2 linked regions of the Danio rerio genome follow. The protein of the gene in region 2 purifies or fractionates together with the protein of the main gene of each other region. This does not show direct contact. Links are inferred from orthologs where the notes say so. Each region holds a gene or a part of one and is shown on either strand. Other genes may lie near its edges. The genes, in order: rpa2 and rad52.

What was found.
Region 1: the proteins of rad52 (region 2) and rpa2 purify together in Homo sapiens (affinity purification with western blotting; 3 studies listed by BioGRID and IntAct, with this or other methods). This does not show direct contact. The link is inferred for Danio rerio from reciprocal best matches to the Homo sapiens genes RAD52 and RPA2.

The regions. Positions count from the first base shown.
Region 1 is NC_133191.1:4,971,940-4,975,871, forward strand, and holds the start of rpa2 (replication protein A 32 kDa subunit), read right to left. Parts: upstream 2,194-3,932; 5' UTR 2,060-2,193; coding exon 2,047-2,059; intron 1,824-2,046; coding exon 1,732-1,823; intron 134-1,731; coding exon 32-133; intron 1-31. Other genes in the region: ube3d (E3 ubiquitin-protein ligase E3D), read left to right, coding at 2,650-2,726. UniProt on the Homo sapiens protein: As part of the heterotrimeric replication protein A complex (RPA/RP-A), binds and stabilizes single-stranded DNA intermediates that form during DNA replication or upon DNA stress.
Region 2 is NC_133200.1:22,346,319-22,350,150, reverse strand, and holds part of rad52 (DNA repair protein RAD52 homolog), read right to left. Parts: intron 3,354-3,832; coding exon 3,286-3,353; intron 3,214-3,285; coding exon 3,095-3,213; intron 1-3,094. UniProt on the Homo sapiens protein: Involved in double-stranded break repair. Plays a central role in genetic recombination and DNA repair by promoting the annealing of complementary single-stranded DNA and by stimulation of the RAD51 recombinase.

The sequences.
Region 1 (3,932 bases), on a different chromosome or scaffold from region 2:
ATGTGGATATTTAGTGATTCTTCAGACTGACCTGTGCGATCTCCACCTCTCCCACTTTAAAGACGTCCTCAGCCTGCACCGCCGACAACAGCTGAGATACAGTACAGGGAACGATCTGCTGCGCTCGTGTCCTCTGAACACACACACACACACACACATCACTGTTACACTTTACAGCATCACACATGAAGATCACAATACTACACTGATTTCCCACTGTTTTCATAATCACTTAAACAACACGATAATGACTCAAATAAGTACTGTTAAAATAACAATACTACTCTCTCTACGGTCATTCTAACAGCTACACAAAAGATGTATTAGGCCAAAATAGTGAAAGTCGTATTATTTTTACACAAACAGAATTGTCCCCAAACATATCAATACTGCATTAAAGTTATAAGTTTGTTTGCCTAAATTTAAACAGCGACTTGAAAATTATTGAAATATACTGAAAAAACCTTCTATAAAAGATATGATTTATATACCTTATTAAATATTATTCAGTATTTACACAAGCAAAAACAGACCTAAACATTGAGATGAAAGACAAAGACAATTTTGGCAATGAAAATTAAATACTTCATAAAAGAATTTCTAAATCTTTTATATTTTATTTATTTTTTAAATAACAGAAAATAGCTTAAATGTTTAGCTTAATAGCTTAAACTCAACGTTTAGGCTTGTATTGTATTAAAAAGTGCATTAAATGATAATAAAAAATAGTTTGAGCAAATCTATTGTCTGTTTTAACTTTTTTTACGATGTGTCGCTTTTATTTTAAGCAAAGAAATATAATAATAAACAAAAATAACAACTAATAAATATTTTATTTCAATTTACTTCAAGTTACATAAGATGGCCACTAAATTTAGTTTAGTCTCAAACTCTAAATTTTATACCTGTCATTTGAAATCTTAATATTTATTAACTGTTCTGCAAAACATTTCACTTTACCCATTTGTTAACAAAAAGTTAAATTATAACCAAATTTAGTTTATTAAATTACTCTTTTAACTATATAATCAGGAAGTACATAACAGGTATTTGCTTTTGTTTAATTACACAAAAACTTGTTGAGCTTAATACCAAACAATTTTTTCACACATTTTTTAACATTTCGTTGTCACAAAAATAGTCTGAAACATTGAAGTGAACATTTAACTTGTATTTTTTACTTTTTTTGTCATTTCAAAATGCAGTTTAGAAAGTGCACGATATAGGGATAAGTTAAAAGTGCTATTATAGAAAACTATGGGTAATATTTACAAATATATGTAGTTTAAACAAAATATACTCAAGTCGTATTAACTGCAATTAAATATTTAAACAGAATTAAATATGGTATTGGAGGAATTTAATATGAACCCCACACAATTGAGGTAAGGTGGGTTTAATATTCGCACATTCTCCTTAAAGATAAAACGTCACAAAGTATTTATGCAAATTTTAAATGCTAAAATCATATTATCAGCTAGTGACTATCAAAGTACAGCATTGTTTACAGTCAAATAAATGGTGTTAATGTTGTTTTGAAGTCATGTTTACAAGTGATTTCAGACCAAATATTTAAAGTACCATGGTAAACAATATGAGGAGCATGTCACAAGTTGTCACTGAACGAATGTGCGAATATAAAACCAACTTTACCTCAATATATATATATATATATATATATATATATATATATATATATATATAGGTGTTTAAAGTTATTTATATACTGACCCCCTTTTTGTCTCCTCCTTGAGAAGCGGCTGGTGACCCGAATCCTCCAGGAGACTGTGTGTACCCAGCCATACTGGCCTCTCCGTATTTACCTGCAAAAATATGAATACCATATTTCAATCAAAACGACTTATTGGTTAAAAACCCCGTCCGACTGGCAGTAACGTAAGAGTGCGTTAAAAACAGACCTTGACAACACACCGCTAACCGACATCACACTGACACTGTATAACAGAGCTTTCTGACTCTCATTAGCGGACTAGCAGAGTAAACTCAGCTCTAAAGCCAAAATAAAGTGATTTCTAAAGCACGTACCTTGGTTCCACATTTCACTCGTGAATGTTTTTCTTCTGAATGCGAAGCAGACCGACAAGACACTCGAAAATCTCCCGCCACGACTGATCGCGCACAGTTTGACGTCACGTCTCGAAGTCCGCGCGCTCACAGTACGCGTGCGCGTGTGTCATCTGCCGCGAAAGTCCCACACGTATACTGTAAAAGTCCACAGAAGCTTGTATGTTGTTAAAATTGTTTTTAAATAAAAATAAAGCATAAAAAAATAAATAAAAACAACAAAAAATCTGTAATCTTTCTTCACTGAAATTTACATTAAAACGTTTACGCTCGTTCTCATATGTTTTGGAATAGTTAAAGCATGTAAGCGGGCTAAGCCCAGTCATATATTGTTTATATATTAAAATAAAATAATTATAATAACTGTCCAAATATGTTTGAAAACAGCGTTTTTTAAAATGTTTTTAAAAGTAACGTTAACACTGAACAGATGCAAACTGAATTCTGAAGACTCTTAATATGAAATGACGGTGTCGCAGACAGTTTGTCGTCACGTTGTTTTGTGTGTCGCGTGGGATTTATGAGTAGAATCGATGAATCCATAGCTTCTGTAAAGAAATACCAATGGAAGAGACTGCGAACACAGATGTCCTCTTTATTGAGCTCAGACAGAAGCTGCAAAGCGGCCTTTTGTTCATTCGGTAAAGTTTTTCTCTTCTACTTTGGCTCTCTCATAGTCACTGACTGTCAATGCAGTGTTTCATCAGTGTATGTGAGTGAATTATGTCATGTACAGTTACACTTAGCACCCAGGGATTCAACGGGATTTCTTTTAACGTACTAGGGTAACGTTACAGCTTATTTTGAGTTTATTTACTGGAATAAAAGGTTATACAATTTCAGGAGGCAGACTTTGGGAACACTAAGTTAGAGAGTACTAAAATATAGTCGTTTAAATGTTTATAGCTAGGTTTTAAAATTATTTATATAGTATACTGAATTATATATATTATACTATTGCATACTGTTTTATTTTTTACACTAGCTCTATAAGATAAAACAGTTAGAAATGCCACAATGAAACACTAGATGGCAGTATTGACCAGATAGTTGGACAGCTTATTTAACGCCATGATATTTTCTTTATGAAAAATAACTTTATGACTAACGTTGCTGTTAACTTTAGACCTCTTAAAATCGAAGAAATTGATTTCTAACACATTTCATCCTAAGTCTCTTCATGCACTGTACAATATGCAGGGTTCCACATAATTCCATAGAGGTAAAGCTGGTTTAAATTGAGATATTCAGACATTCTCCTTAATAATATAATTTCAGAAAAGTATTCTTTGCAAATTCTAAATAGGGAAATCATATTAGCACTTTAGCAGCAAATGATTATGAAAGTACAACATTGTTCACAGTGAATTAGACAGTGTTAATATTGTTTAGAAGTCAAACTTGCATGCTAATTCCGATCGAATATTCAAAGTAACATGGTAAACAATATAGAGACTGCTAAATGAACAAATGTGCGAATATAAACTTTGGGAACCACTGAGTTAGACAATCTAATTATAACTTGAGGAGACAAATGCCTCAGCGTTTAATTTATTTTCTTTACAAAAATATATTTTTTTCTAAGTGACTGACTACAACTTCATTTTTAGTTTTTAAGCCTCACGAAATTTGAAAAAATGGTTCTCTAAAAGATTTTTTTAGTTTCTTACACATTTCATGCAACGTCTTGACTGTAAAAATGGATTTACTCAGCTGTCTAATGTAAAGTATTGTTTTTTTAGAGTGCTCTGATGTGATTTGTGTCTTGTAGCTGTGAAATAACTCATCATTTAGATTGGAGATATGGAACTGTAATTTGCTTAAAATATTTATAGTCATTTTTTAAT
Region 2 (3,832 bases):
TGTGATGGCAGTGTTACATTTCCAACATCATTACAAAAATTCTTCAGTGTCACATGATCCTTCAGAAATCATTCAAATATGATGATCTGGCATATAAAAACATTTCTCCGTTCTTATCAATGGCGTAAAAACGTTGTGCGGCTTAATATTTCTATGGAACCTGACCTTTGCTAAAAAACATCAAAGATGTAAAATTCTAATATAGGGTTATAAATACCTTTACTGCTGTTTTTGGTCAACTTCATGCATCATTGCAACATAAAAGCATTATTTTTTAATTCAATTTAATTTAATTTGTGTATCGCCTTTCACAAAAGTTATTTTTTCAAAGCAGCTTTACAAAAGGTTGTAAGAATTGAAATATTACAAATATTTTTGATGTCTTTGACAATTCAAAACATGAGCTGAAGACAGGGCCAATGGACTCCACAACCCACCAGGGGGGAATGCGTGAAAAACCAGTTCCTGCTGCATTTGCATCTGACTATGTTGAAACTCAGCTTCATCCCCCCAACTCACGCATATGGTCATTTCAATGTTTTAGATTAACCAAACTGACTTTAACTATCATGTTTGATATCATTTGAAATGTCTCAGTGCGATTGGTACAATGGTCTCATTCTCTCAGAAATAGATATAATCAACACAATAAATATATAACTTCAGGCATCTTTTGAACCACTGTGAAGGGTGTGACTTTTTACACACACCCCCTTCCTTGAGGGAATTCTTGGATTATTTAAGGCAAGGTTTGAGAAAAACTCAGGGCGATTCTGCCTAACCAGATCAGCCCATAACATGGGGTCTGCCCCATGTTATGTATATTTCAAAGTCAGGTATGCATCTTTTCATCTTGGATTTATCTTTGATAATTTGATGTTTTGTATTGATCATTTATGAATTGACTGATTGAATTGGCATAATACATTTACCTGACTAATAAATTGTTATGTTTTGAATGATTCAAACAGAGTTCGTGTTATTATCTTTAGTAGATTGTGGTAATTTCATAGCACCACAAGCCCCTGTTCAGGTTAGTAGCGGACTAGAACACGGTAGACGGAGCATTGCGGCACGTTACACGATGTCTCTAGAGCTCCGACTAACAAATTGGCATTTATTCATGTATACTTAGGCTGTAAAATGATATCTAAGGGGATAGTCCTTCACCCGATAAACTTTTAATACTATTTAGATAGTATAGTGATTATTCAAAGTTACTACTAGTTTAAGTACGACTGGTCTGCTTAATTCTATAGTAATGATCGTTATATGACTAAATAGCTCTGTCTGATTTAGGAGGTAGCAGACCTATGGGGACCGCATAAAAAATATCCTAATCTGAGTAAGTAGGGTTCTGCCTTTTTAGGATAGCGGTCAATCGCCCCTGTTTAGTGACCAAGACTGACATGCTTGTGCTTAAGAAATTGTATACTCGGCCGGTACAAGATTCAGGATGTTATAGAGATCCCAATGAACGAGAATAACATAAAATGATGAACCGAAGAGAATATTCAATCATAATCTAAATTAATGTGAAAGGAAACAAAATAATCTTCTCAATGTTTTATAATTGGAGTCAGATAAAACGAGGATAAACATATTAATATTCTAAACCATCTCATACTAAAATTGGAGTCAGATATGAGTTAAGTTTAATATAAATCAACATTGTGCACTGGATAGACCGAACATGTAGTGAACCTTCATCCACCATTGGATACCGTCATTGGACCAACTGGCTGGACCCTACAAGGTGCACATTATTGTATTAGCAATTCTTGTCATAAATCATATTGGTTAAAAAAATGTAATCCCTCCATGGGAAATTTAAGTCCCTTTAACTCAAGCCCTTTACTGTCATTCCATATTTTAAGGTCACACTTGAAAAACATGCACAGTTTATATAGTTTATCAATTTAAACTAAATATATTTAATGTACTGAAAAATCTTCCACCCAAACATCTTGGGACACGATTTTCACATCATTATTTGGCAATTAGCAACTCTGTTTGAGTAATGCCGAGTTCAGACTGCATGATTTTCAAGGTAGTCATGTCACAGATGTTTTCACACTGCTTGACTATCTGGGCTAGCGTTTCGTCGCTGCTTTGTTTACACTGCAAGATGGATTGGCGACAGGGACTTTCACATTGCATGACTTTACTATAGGAAGAATTGCCGACAACTACGTCTCACAGCCAAAAACACGTAGTTTATCTTTTGTTATTAACTACATAATGAGAAAGAAGCCTTTAAGGGGGTAGAACATGTACATGTTTGCTCATCTGGGTTTAAAGGGAATTAGCTATTTCTCCTCAACGTTGATGATAAACTAACTTCTTTCTGTATGAACCGTCAAACAGACACAGTTGCTCCTGAGTCCTGTCAAACCTCCACTAGTTTTTCCTCCATTTCGTCGGTCCAAATAAATCGAAAAAAGAGCGCTTTTAACTTCTCCCCCAGCCTCCCGCTGGCCTGCAGCAGGTATACACACATGCACACACAAGTGAAAGCTGCTCTCTCATTGGCTGTAGGAGATCGCTGATGTTATTTTCAGTCAAAACTCAATTCACACGTCATGATTTGAATCACCGACGGCTCCAGATATTTAGCATGCCAAATATCTCACAGGCATCGGCGACTCATCGGCGATTCTCTCAGATCACGTCTTTGATCGTTCATACTGTGTGATTGTCACTCACGTGCACGAGCACAGATTTGCCTGTGATTTCAGGCATTTGTCGGCGATTTCTCAAAACCTGTCGGCGAGCCAAAATCGGGGCTAAAATCATGCAGTCTGAACTAGGCATTAGGTATACACATCAATCAATTGATCACAGTGGTGGGGATCCTCAAACAAAATAAAAAAGCCAACAAAGACATATTTCATAGGGGAAAAAAATCAACAATGATTGTCTGCTTATTAAGATGATAATACAGTTCACAAACATTTATATACTCAAACTAAAATGGTTAATTCACATAGGTAAATAAAACTAGCTAAATACAACTAAAGAAAATCCTATTACTTTAAAAAGAAATGAAAAAATATTTGCCATAGAATGACCAATCGAAATCTGATGTAGTTACTTGAGTGCTCTTTTCAATCCATCTGTGACAGCTTCTTTTCTTGCTTTTTCCAGGGACAGAGCTTTGGATTTGAGGCCTTCGCTAACCCCATATCCTACATCCTCATGAAATGAGCCATCCTATGGAGAAAAACACTGAAGAATTTAGATGCTACTCACAACTCTGTACTTCTGTATTGTCAGAGCTCTTACCTTTAACTGGACCTTAATGAAAGCACTGACTCCAACGTAAAACTTCCCATTGATCAGGTCCACAAAGTCTGGAGGACAAGATCAAACAAGGTTGTGTTGATGCTTGACAGTGTATCATTCAGTCATTCATTTTCTTTTCAGCTTAGTCCCTTTATTAATCCGGGGTCGCCACAACGGAATGAACCGCTAGCTTATCCAGCATGTTTTTATGCAGCGGATGCCCTTCCAGCCGCGAACGCAGCGAGAACATGCAAACTCCACACAGAAACGCCAACTGACCTAGCTGAGGCTCGAACTAGCGACCTTCGTGCTGTGAGGCGACAGCACTACCTACTGCGCCACTGCATCGCCCAGCCATTCATTCATTCTTTCATTTATTCATTTTCCTTCAGCTTAGTCCCTTATACAGCAGAATGAACAACCAACAATTCCAGCATATGTTTTACGCAGCGGATGCCTTTCCAGCCACAACCCAGTACTGGGAAACACTCTTACACTCTCACATTCACACACCCACTCATACCAAATTAGTTACGTAATTCACCTA